Rattus norvegicus: one gene and its partners. The protein of the gene in region 1 binds, or shares a complex with, the protein of each later gene. Links are inferred from orthologs where the notes say so. Each region holds a gene or a part of one and is shown in the gene's direction. Other genes may lie near its edges.

Evidence for each region.
Region 2: Lamtor4 (region 1) and Lamtor2 share a complex: the UniProt entries of both Homo sapiens proteins name them as parts of the ragulator complex. The link is inferred for Rattus norvegicus from reciprocal best matches to the Homo sapiens genes LAMTOR4 and LAMTOR2.
Region 3: Lamtor4 (region 1) and Flcn share a complex: the UniProt entries of both Homo sapiens proteins name them as parts of the lysosomal folliculin complex. The link is inferred for Rattus norvegicus from reciprocal best matches to the Homo sapiens genes LAMTOR4 and FLCN.

Annotation. Positions count from the first base shown.
Region 1 is NC_086030.1:22,370,863-22,375,091, forward strand, and holds the start of Lamtor4 (ragulator complex protein LAMTOR4), read left to right. Parts: upstream 1-1,406; 5' UTR 1,407-1,475; coding exon 1,476-1,478; intron 1,479-1,917; coding exon 1,918-1,998; intron 1,999-4,229. UniProt on the Homo sapiens protein: As part of the Ragulator complex it is involved in amino acid sensing and activation of mTORC1, a signaling complex promoting cell growth in response to growth factors, energy levels, and amino acids.
Region 2 is NC_086020.1:176,306,842-176,310,959, reverse strand, and holds the start of Lamtor2 (ragulator complex protein LAMTOR2), read left to right. Parts: upstream 1-1,231; 5' UTR 1,232-1,307; coding exon 1,308-1,375; intron 1,376-1,672; coding exon 1,673-1,835; exon of another isoform or gene 1,836-3,062; intron 3,063-3,558; coding exon of another isoform or gene 3,559-3,636; coding exon 3,637-3,726; intron 3,727-4,118. Other genes in the region: Ubqln4 (ubiquilin-4), read right to left, coding at 237-344. UniProt on the Homo sapiens protein: As part of the Ragulator complex it is involved in amino acid sensing and activation of mTORC1, a signaling complex promoting cell growth in response to growth factors, energy levels, and amino acids.
Region 3 is NC_086028.1:45,097,214-45,100,857, reverse strand, and holds part of Flcn (folliculin), read left to right. Parts: coding exon 1-234; intron 235-873; coding exon 874-1,020; intron 1,021-2,437; coding exon 2,438-2,659; intron 2,660-3,486; coding exon 3,487-3,644. UniProt on the Homo sapiens protein: Multi-functional protein, involved in both the cellular response to amino acid availability and in the regulation of glycolysis.

The DNA of each region.
Region 1 (4,229 bases):
GTGTGTGTGTGTGTGTGTGTCCATGTGTACCGTAGCTCACAAGTGTAGGTTTGAGAACTATTTGTGGGGTTGGTTGTTTCCTTTAACAATGTGGGACTCAGTGATCAAACTCAGGTTATTAGGCTTGGCGGCAAGCACCTTTGCCTGCTGAGCCTCTTTGCTGGCCCTACTTCAAAATTGTTGCCATGTTGAATTCCGGGCCTGGGCATGCTGGGCAAGTGTTCAAACTCAGACCCATGCCTCATTTTTAAAGACATGCATTTTCTCTAATTAGCTGCTTCTCCTAAACCAAGACGATTTGGGGTGGAGGACTTTCTTTCTTGAGCTATGATTAGTGCTGGGGATACAGACCAGATGGAGAGCTCTTACCCAGCATGCGCAAGGCCCTTACTTTGCTTCTCGGCACTGAAAATAAGGGGGGGGGGGGGGAGGGTTATATAATTCACAGATCTTGAAACATTTTAATTCAAAGTGTACAACCTATGTCACAGTCACAAAGATAGGCAGACTTCAATACGAATCCCAAAAAGTTTAAATCACACGTGCCACTCCCCCCCCCCCCTTAATAGGCACTTCCTATTTTCTCTTGCCTCACTACCGACCACTAACTGCTTTCACGTTTTTCTGGATTTGCCAGAAGTGTATGTGTTTTAGTTAGGCTCCTGGTAGGTAGCTCAGGCTGGCACTGAACTCACTATTCAGTCCAATCTGGCCTGAACTTGAAACCCCCTTCCTTGGCTTCCCAGGATTTATACCAGTATTACAAGTATTCAGCGTCAGTCACAGCTAAGCATCTTACATAGATGGAACCACATAATATGTGGTCTTATGTGACTGCCCTTTCAAGCCAGTCCTTCTGGTTGATTCTGAGCCTCTAAAGGCTGAGTTGTCTCTGAAGCTATTCTTCTGGCTTGCTTTAACTTGCTTTCGAGATTCTCAAGTTGCTCTTGGTGTCAGGACGTTTTTCCCTTGTATTGATAATATACTACAGTGTGCATATATACACCAAATTTGATTTACCCATTCATATTTGGGTCGTATACTAAGGCAGAAAATTAACACGTGAACAGTTTTTCATGTGTAAACCATCGTCATTCACATTAACTTCTCTTTTCAGGTTGAACCGTGACACCTAACGGGGAAAGCTCTTTACAACACTAGACTGCATTACTTTCTCCTTGGAAGCCTAGGCGCACGCGCACGTTCGTGAGGAGGTGGAGAGGTGCCCCGCCCCTCGCTCAATAACTCTTCAGATAATCTCGCAGGCGAATCCTGAGTGGCGAGGAAATGCAACCAATCCACGAATGTGTCCGGAAAGCGGCGCTCCGCAGTGGTTGATAAAGTCTGATGACGTACGCACCATCCAATGCGCAAGCGAAGGGCTGGGCTAGAGTCAGCTGGTGAACCACCTGACCGGAGCCTGGAGCCGGAAGCTACCTATCCGGTAGACAGCTCCCCCTGCACCTACGGCTGCCATGGTGAGTGAGGACGCATGCGCGGGCTTGTGCGCCTAGGGTTGCGCGTCCCTGTTCCCCAAACTTCGGTTACCCCCTTATGGCTTGCACTCCGCTGTCACCCCCAGTCCACCCTGGGACCGAAAGGAAACAGAGATGGAAGGGAGGCGACCGGGAGGGCTGGAGAAGGAAGGCTCCGCTACCGGGTGTTTTGCGGCCGGGAGTAGTTTTGATGGCACAAGGGGCGGGGCATAAGGGCACTGGAATGAGAAGGGGCTGTGAAGCTAGGAAGGTCTCCTGGGTCACCTGCCTGACAAGTGGAAGAGCTCAGGCGTCCAATAGTGACCATGGATGGAGACTCAGTGTTACAAGCCATTTAGAGGGTCTGAAAGGCTTATATCCAGGAGGGAGATGGGTTTACAAGGCTGTCATGGTTCTCACCTCTTGCCTCTTTACCCACTAGACTTCCGCACTGACCCAAGGGCTGGAACGAATCCCAGACCAGCTTGGCTACCTGGTGCTGAGCGAAGGTGCAGTGCTAGCGGTGCGTTGTGGGAAAGCGAGGCATGGGGTGGTGGCGGTGACGGGGTCCTTTGGGGACACACAACCCAGAAATCCCTTCAAATATTTCCCGCTTTCTCTCAGTTGTCTACTTTTGTCCTCTCTGTGGTTCCCTGCTTGCCATATTTAATGTTTGGATATATGGTATAAATGCTTATTTCCAAAAGGTTGGGGTTATAGCTCAGTCAGGAGAGTGAGTTACTTAGCACGTACAAAGCCTTCAGTTCAATTCCCAATACTGCACAAAACCAAACACAGAGGCACGTGATCTGTAGCCCCAGCACTTGGAAGGTGGAAACCGGCAGATTAGAAATTCAGGTTCATCTTTGGCTATGTATCAAGTCAAATCACAGTCTGGACCACATGTAACTCAGCCTCAAAAAACAAAAACCAAACTTTACCAAAGTCATTCAATTAGTTAGTTACTTGTAGTATGTTTTTATTTGGGATATCTTTAAAAAAGCCGAGGACAACCTTTGGGAGTGAGTTCTCCTCCTGCCATGCGGGTCCTGAGGATTGAAATCCGGTCCTTAGGCAAGCACTTTTATGCTCTGAGCCATTTCACCTGCCCCTAGAATTTTGGGGGGCGGGGGCAAGACTTCTCTAGAGGCAAGGATTGAGCTGAGCTGCTAAGACAGAAGGTTGTGAACGAGGAAGAGAATTCTCAGGGCTGGGAGCTGGACATACTTGCCTGAGTGTAACAGCGCCTGGTTGTGGTCTTGTGTTGAAACAGTTTGAAGAGGAAGGATGCTGTGGTAAGACTCTGATACTGAACTTCCTATGGCTAGCTTCAATATCTTTGGACAAATCTTGAGGGTTACTTAAAGGGTTTTGAAAACATAAATGTGACTCACAGAAATGGTGTAGCATGACTGTCCCAGGAGAGCCATCTAAGAGACTGGCCGGGTAGCAATGAGAAGTAAGGGCTATAGACATTGTATCTATTTTTTTAGTGTCTGCACATGTGTGTGCCCATGCATATGCTAAGACCAGTGTAGGACATTAGAGACCTCCTCTTACCCTTCTCTGCCTTATTCCTTGAGGCAGGGTCTCATACTGAACCTGGAGCTAGACTGGCAACACTGAGCAAGCCTTAGCAATCAACCTGCCTGTACACCCACAGTACTGGGATTCCAGGTGTGAGCATGGCCATGTAGGGTAGGGGATTTGAACTCAGGTCCTCTTGCTTGTACAGCAAGCGCTCTTATCCACTGAGCCATTGCCACAGCCCAGAGATCACATCTTAGAGGTATTAATATATGTTGGTAATAACTAGGTAAAGTACTTCTGCATGTACCTTACCTTTCTGATGTACTCATCCTGTAGGACTCTGAGCAGGGAAAACCAGAAAAGTACTGTGGTACCTGAACAAATAAGAAAGTAAAAAAGGAAGCTGACCAAGGAGGTAGCTAAAGGGAATTTTGATGGCCTGACTATAGACAGGAGATGAGTGAGGTCTGAGATGAGTGAGATGGACTGATAGCAGTTATAGTACATTTATTATGTAGGCACTGTTATAATATTCTCATTGTTTTCTCATGAAACTTCCACAAGCACAGAATATGGGTCCAATATACAGATGGAGAAACTGAGAGCAAAAGGAACTAAATCTAGTAAAGGGCCCATTTAGAATCAGTGGGAAGAGGGAGTAGAAGCAGTTTGTCCAGAGAAGTCTGGACTACTGTCTTCTCATTGACCCTAGAAGTAGCCAGAGGGAAAGCTTCAAAGACAAAGTAGGTGTTTCTGGTTCATAGCCTTCAGACAAGGACAAGTGGGAAGACTGGGGACAAGTGGAACCTTCAAAGATTGAGCAGTTAGCTTAGTGGTAGAACATCTTCCTAGAATCCTCTGTGAGGGGCTGAAGGCATGGGTCAGTAGTAGAACACTTGCCCAGGAGTCCCCCAGTGAGGGGCTGGGGGCGTGGCTCAGTGGTAGAGCCCCTGCCTAGAATCCCCCCAGTGAGGGGCTGGGGGTGTGGCTCAGTGGTACAGCCCCTGCCTAGAATCCCCCAGTGAGGGGCTGGGGGCGTGGCTCAGTGGGAGAGCCCCTGCCTAGAATCCCCCAGTGAGGGGCTGGGGGTGTGGCTCAGTGGTACAGCCCCTGCCTAGAATCCCCCAGTGAGGGGCTGAGGGCGTGGCTCAGTGGTACAGCCCCTGCCTAGAATCCCCCAGTGAGGGGCTGGGGGTGTGATAGATCACTTGGTAATCACACCCT
Region 2 (4,118 bases), on another chromosome or scaffold:
CCCACCACGCCCCCAGCCCTGGTAGTGCGGCCAAATCGGCCCCTACCCGCGCCACACTCCCCGGACTAGCCCGGGTAGGGCGCCCCCTACCCGCCTCTCCCGCCTGGATGCCCCTGGGTTCCGCCCCGGCCGGGGGCCCGTCCCCGGCGCCAGGCCGTTCCCCTAGGTCTTCCTCTCTACGCTGACCCCTCAGTGCGCTGCTCCCGCCCTCCTCTCTCCCGCGCCAGCCCTACTACCTCCTTGACCGAGGCTTGATCGCAGATCAGGATCTCCTCCTTGTCCTTGGGGGTCTTGACGGTGACCCGAATCTGGGGCCTCGTCTCAGCCCCACTCGGCTCCGCCATGCCGCCGCCCGGCCGCCCGCCAGCCCGCCCAGCTCCTCCTCCTCCTCCTCCTCCTGGCCCGCCCGGCCCGGCTCGGCTCCGGAGCCTCCAACTCCCCCTCCCGCCCCTCCCCAAGGCTCCGCCGCCCCCTCCGGACAGCTGCAGCCACAGCGCCCCGGGCGGCCTGGGGGGGCACTGCAGTTGGGGCGGCCCGGGCCCGAGCGGGGTGCGCAGCTGGCCCGGGCCGGATAGTGCGGCCCGCGCAGAGGGCGGGAGATTCAGGGCCGCCCGCGGTTCCGTCCCGTTTGGACAAAGGACTTTCGGTGTCGCCGTCTCATCTCCGTTCCCCGAGGTAACTATTTTTCTTGAAAGGCAGAATCGGCCAGGCCTAGGTTCGTTCCTGGCTCAGGGCGTCCTTAAAACCTCTGCAGATTCTAACAGTCGTGACCTCCCGGGAACCGCCCCGAGGGGGCCATTAAGGACGGTTTCAGAGACCTGGAGTTTGCCTACGTGGCTTCTCTGAGCCCTGGGTGTCAAGAAAGCAAGACTCTACAGAATTGTGACTAGCGTACAATATTGCTTTAAAAAATGGCTAAGGATGTGCCTAACAGATACAGAGATTTATTATTAGATTGCGATTGACCAGTAGGCACGGAGGCGCCCTTCGCGTGGAAGAGGTTAAAAGTCCTTCCAACATTGCCACTGTCCTTGCGCTCCCGCTCTTTTCCCCCCCACAGCCACATGGTCTGACTGAAAAGCTGAACTATAGTTCCCAGAATTCCTTGAGCGGTCACAAAAAACTACGATTCCCAGAGGCCCCCGCGCGGGGCGGGAATTGGACCACAGCCTCAGTAAATAAGCCCGGTGACTACAACTCCCAGGTGCCTCGTAGCTGGGCTTCCGGGCCACCGGAAGCGATGAGGGAGGGCAAGAGGCTGCGACTGTAGTGTTTGTGGGAGCAGGTCAGGGTTAAGAGACGCAGGCATGCTGCGTCCTAAGGCTTTGACGCAGGTGCTAAGCCAAGCCAACACTGGAGGAGTCCAAAGTACCCTGTGAGTGAACAACAAGAACCCAAACAGCGAGCGCTGAAATGGGGCGGCGTGCGGATCCCTGCAGTAGGGGTAGGGAAGGAGCCCTGCGCCGGGAGGTGGCTAATGTTGCAAACTGCAGCTTCGGGAACCCTGCGTGAGGGCCTCCTCCGAAAGGGGAATCGACAGTTGATTAGCATGTTCCTGGATATATCCAGCACAGATTCTTGCTTCCTGAAAGCGCAAGTAGCTGGAATTGGGATAGGAACTCAGGCCTTTTACTCTTCCTGAGTTTGTTGATATCCTTCCCATTCTTGTCAGGCTGCTGAATAATGAGGGATCGTTGCTGGCCTACTCCGGTTATGGGGACACAGATGCCCGGGTCACCGCGGCCATCGCCAGTAACATCTGGGCCGCATACGATAGGAACGGGAACCAAGCGTTTAATGAAGACAGTCTCAAATTTATCCTCATGGACTGCATGGTATGAAGTAAAGTAGGCTGACCTCGAACTTACAATGATCATTGTGCTTCTGCCTTCTGAATACTGAATTTGCATGTGTTCACAGTCGCACCTTGCCAAATAAAACGTAGATATTAAAAAAGGAAGTGAGAGTAGGGTGCAGGCCTATGTAAGGGTCAATCTCAGCGAAAAGGAGACATTTGTTAAAAGATCTGGAAGACGATTGGAAAGGGTAAGAGCCATGAAGAGATCTTTTGGAAAAATATTTCTAGCAGTGCTGGCTATGGTGGCTTATTCCTCTAGACTAGTACACAAGAGACTGAGGCAGGATCTCTTTTTTTTTTTTTTTTTTTTTATAAGCTCTTTTTTTTTTTTTTTTAAAGATTTATTTTATTTATATGAGTACACTGTAGCTGTCTTCAGACACACCAGAAGAGGGCATCGGATCCCATTACAGATGGTTGTGAGCCACCATGTGGTTGCTGGGAATTGAACTCAGGACCTCTGGAAGAGCAGTCAGTGCTCTTAACCACTGAGCCATCTCTCTAGCCCCGAGGCAGGATCTCTTTGAGTGTTTATTTTCTTTTTCTTTTTTGGTTTTGTTTTTTTTTTTTGGTTTTTTTTTTTGAGACAGGGCTTCTCTACGCAGCCCTGGTTATCCTGGAAGTCTGTAAAATCAGGGGGACCTCAAAATCTGAAATCTGCTAGCCTCTGCCTCTCAAGTACTGGGACTAAAGGCGTGCACCACCAACGACCAGCCGTTGCACGTATTTCCGACAACAGTTGTTGCAAAGGACCTAGGGCAGAGTGATGCCAGGACAAAGATCAGTAAGGATGGAGTGTCATAGAATGGAGAAAAGTTATTAGGAGATAGCACTAAAGAGGCCTGTGGGCTTCCCAGTCCTCTGAAGAATGATAGTGTGCAGAGCACTGCTGTTCTCTGGCTGCCCATTCTTTACACCCCTCTTACCCACTGCTGGACTCCTACCGGGTGCTGGGTCTAGGGCTGGTGCCATTGAACAGAAGCTTCAAAGGCATTCACTGCAGCCCAGCTATAAGAAATGCATTTTAATGGACAGATGGTGGAGCTCAGTGGTAGAGCAGTAGCTTAGAATGTATGGGATTCTAGAATCTATTCCTAGAAACACAATTTGTGTTTTTGAGTCAGAGCCTAGCACACACACTAAAGCAAGTTCCGTGAAGCATCACTTCTCTTAATAAATGAGCCATTTTATTTTTACTTTCAAATGTTGATCCACTTTAATTGATCTCCATTTTGAACAGTTACAAAGTAGGAAAAGAGACATGTAAGTTGTGTGTGTGTGGGGGTCGTTGTTACCTTTTTAAGGTTTATTTTATTCTGTATGTGTGAGTTGCTATGCCCGGATGTTATATTGAGCACCATGTGCATGCACAGTGCCCTCGGGGTGAAAGAAGGCATTGGATCCCCTAAACTAGATGATTGGCAGCACAATGTTGCTGTTGGGAATCGAACTCAAGTCTACTGCAAGAGCAACAAACAAGTTGGGCTATTGTTCCTGGTCCCTCACCTGTTGAGACAATTCAGCATTAGAGAAGAAAGCCCCAATTTCTCAAAGACTTGGTTCCCCAGGATAACTTGGTTAGGACATGGCTCTGCTGAGGCTGGAATTCAGTTTCAGACCCCCATAGCTTAAATGCTGGGCAAAGTTCCCTGTCTGAACTGCCTGCTCTGCCAAGCTTGGGAGACAATATCTATCTCTAGGACCAGAGGAACCCTGGGGAAGGCAGGAACCAAGGATGTCAAGCAGAGTGCCCCAGTGTATTATGTCATTCCCACCAGGAGGGCCGTGTAGCCATTACCAGGGTGGCCAACCTTCTGCTATGTATGTATGCCAAGGAGACTGTAGGCTTCGGGATGCTCAAGGCCAAGGTGAGTACATTCCTATGCTACAAACTTCCTGGGCTGGAACCAGATCTACCTATGCACACCCTTGCTCTGAATAAGGACATGGAATCTTTAATTAGCTTTATTATAAATTTTGGGCACTATAGCTGGGCAGATTCTCAACTGTTCTAACCCAACAATACTGGCTTGGCCTACGTCCCATCCCATGTCCCATTACCTGTCCATCTTCGTCATGTCCCGGCACCTGCTTCTTCATCCTTGTCCAGCTGCTGACTCCTCAGGGCTGACTCTCAGAATTCCTATCTCTTCCTAGAAGTTCCACCTTCTACTTCCTGCCTCTGCTGTAGACCATCAGCTCTTTAGTAAGCTGATGAGAGGGTGAGAGAGAGTGTATACAAATACGTAGCCAAATGAAC
Region 3 (3,644 bases), on another chromosome or scaffold:
GCTCTCTGCCACTTCTGCGAGCTCCATGGCCCCCGCACGCTCTTCTGCACGGAGGTTCTACACGCTCCCCTGCCCCAGGGTGCCGGAAGTGGGGACAGTCCTGGCCAGGTTGAGCAGGCTGAGGAAGAAGAGGGCGGCATCCAGATGAGCAGCCGAGTCCGTGCCCACAGCCCAGCCGAGGGCGCCAGCACTGACTCCAGCAGCCCGGGGCCCAAGAAGTCAGACATGTGCGAGGCAAGTGCCCTTTGGGACCGTGAGCTGGTTTTAGCCTTTCTGTGAGAGGTGGGCTGTAGTGGGAGCCTGGGAAACCTCCAAGGTCCTGAGAACATTTTTCTCACCACCCCAGCATGAGCCCTTTTAACCTAGTCAGTGCAGAGGCCGGTCTAGTCTACAGAGAGAGTTCCAGGACAGTCAGGGATGCACAGAGAACCCCTGTCTCGGGGGGAAGAAAACCACACATCATTACACATACTTAAAGGAAGTCGTACCAACTAGAGATAATGTTTCTCCAGAAAAAAGCAAGTTTCTTTTCTTTCTTTCTTTCTTTTTTTCTTTTTTTTTTTTTGTTGTCGTTGTTGATTTTGGTTTTGGTTTTTCTGAGACTGGGGTTTTCAGTGTAGCCCTGGCTGTCCTGGCACTTTACTCTTTAGACCAGGCTGGCCTCAAACTCACAGAGATCCTCCTTCCTCTGCCTCCCTAGTGCTGAGATTAAAGGTGTGCACCACCACTGCCCAGCAAGAAGATGATTTTTAAAAAGTTTTAAAAATTTAAAAAGGATTGTGTTTTCTATATTTAGATATGTTGCCTGCTCCTAGCCAAGAGATTTATTTATTTATTTATTTATTTATTTATTTTGTCGTCCTTTGTGTGCAGGGCTGCCGCTCGCTTGCTGTAGGGCACCCAGGTTATATCAGTCATGATAAGGAGACCTCTATCAAGTACGTCAGCCACCAGCACCCCAACCACCCACAGCTCTTCAGCATTGTCCGCCAGGCCTGTGTCCGCAGCCTGAGCTGTGAGGTAAGGCCAGCGGCAGGCTATCCGCGGGAGACGTGCACGGGGACAGATAGGTTCATTGCTGTTTACCAACACAGGGGGCCTTGCTTGTCAGTGCTGTGTGAGCATGGAAGCAGTCGTTAGAGCCTGAAGAGTAAGTCCCTGTGGACTCGGGCTGTCTACATAGGGGTTGGCATTTCACTTCGAACAACAGACTGGTTTTTCTAGTCCATTCTTGATGGGCAAGTCTCTGAGATGGGACGGTCCCTAGGCAGTGTCACCTTTACATTGTATCAACATGCCATGGTGGAATGCTTAGAACCTTCCAAAGAATGCATCCGGCTGCAGGGCTGGCTCAGTGGTGAAGAGGTCCTAAGTTCAATCCCAGCAACCACATGTTGGCTCACAACTGTCCATAGCTCAGTCCCAGGGGACCTCACACCTTCTTCTGGCCTCCATGGCCACTGCACGCACGTGGGATAGACATATATGCCGGCAAACAGAGCAGAGAAGAAAAATAAAGGTTTAACAACAAACAAGAATGTTTGCCCCTGAGCTTCTGCTGTGGGGCCCGAGTCTCAGCTTCTAGGTCTGATCTGTCCCACAGGCATATATGGCCCCTATCTCCACCTTGTAGGATCCCTGGGCGCCATGGTGCTTGTTCTCAGTGTGCTCTATACCTCCGTCTCCTGCTGTACGCTCAGCAGCACCAGATGCCCTGTGCACAGTAGTCACAGGTCCAGCAAATTTGTCAGGAGGGAGAGACCAAAGGACTCTCTAAAAATAGGGTGTGCTATGGGCTGGAGATAGCTCAACAGCTACGATTCTGTGCTACTGATACGGATGATCTCAGTTTAGTTCCTAATATCCACCCACGCTGGGTAGCTTACAGCCTCCCATGACTCCAAATCCAGGGGATCCAGCACCTTTGGCCTCTGCAAGCACCTGTACTCGTGTTTACACCACCCCCTCCTCCAACCCTACACACCACATTCCCATGATTTAAAGACCAGAAGTAGCCATTGCTTCTGCTGGCTCTCCAGTCTGCCCATCAAGAGCAAGTTGTAACATTTGGTGCCATTCATTGATAGGACACTGGCCTGCTCTGTTCCAGCCAGGCCCTGAGTCCTAACCCCAGCACCACCAAAAACAGGAAAAGAGGGCCTGGAGAGATGGTTCAGTGGTTAAGAGCACTTACTGCTCTTCCAGAGTCCTGAGTTCAAATCCCAGCAACCCCATGGTGGCTCACAACCATCTGTAATGAGATCTGATGTCCTCTTCTGGTGTGTCTGAAGACAGCTACATACAGTATATATATACTTATATATAATAAATAAATCTTTAAAAAGTCTTTAAAACAATAACAGAAACAGGAAAAGAGGCCCACGAGGCTTGAGGTAAAGTCAGGACTTCCCCTAAAGTTACTGTGGCTCCCTCCAAGGTGTGCCCTGGTCGTGAAGGCCCCATCTTCTTTGGTGATGAGCAACATGGCTTTGTGTTCAGCCACACCTTCTTCATCAAAGACAGCCTGGCCAGAGGCTTCCAGCGCTGGTACAGCATCATCGCCATCATGATGGATCGGATCTACCTCATCAACTCCTGGCCCTTCCTGCTGGGCAAGATCCGCGGGATCATCAGCGAGCTCCAGGGCAAGGCCCTCAAGGTGATGCTCAAGGCGGGGCTGTGGCCGTTTGGCATGGATGCTGGGTGCCCGGGCAGCAGTGGTCCTCCTGGCTCTGCCTCTGCTTTGGGCCCACGCTTCAGTGCGGTGATGTCCCGGGCGACCCTCCCAGCCAGCCTGTAACTCTCCTGGTTTCATCCTGGTCTTGAATTCAGAGACCCGCCTGCCTCTGCCTCCTGAGTGCTGGGATTAAAGGCAATCACCCCCGCCACAGCTGTCCTAACTGCTATTCAACCTCTGACTTCTTGCCCAGTACCTTTACTTCCTGTACCCTTCACAACCCAAACTGCCTGCTACTCTTATCTAGACCCCACCTAGGGCACCCCCTCCAGCTGCAGAAGAGCACACAGGCAGGCATGGCCATGCTTTGGTCACAGACCTTTAGACTCAGTGGCCCATTTCTCATTTGTGCTCTGTCCTTGGGCAGTAGAGGAGGAGGCTGTTCATCCTTCGTCCTGATAGGTGGAGTGGCTGGACTGTATTAGAATGTGGCTGGAAGGCATAGGAGCCTCCTATAAGGAGTTAGTCCTGTGTCTGTCACCTGCAAGGGTCTGTGAAATGAACCTGAGTACTTGAAGAACGGTGACTATCCAGTGGAGTCCAAGGAGCCAAGTAGGGGTAGAGAGGAACACACAGAACCCCCTGGGTCAGCAGAACCATTCTGTGAGGCATTGCCAGACTGCTGGCATGGACCGTGTTCTGAGTCAGGAACACAGAGTGGGAGAATCTGGGAAGTGGGGTGGCAGTAACTGAAAGGTTCGGTGGTAGCCATCCCTGAAGAGGCCCTCTTCTCCACCCTTTGTATTCAGGTGTTTGAGGCAGAACAGTTTGGATGTCCACAGCGTGCCCAGAGGATGAACACTGCCTTCACACCCTTCCTGCACCAGAGGAACGGCAACGCTGCCCGCTCTCTGACCTCCTTGACCAGTGATGACAACTTGTGGGCCTGTCTGCATACTTCCTTTGC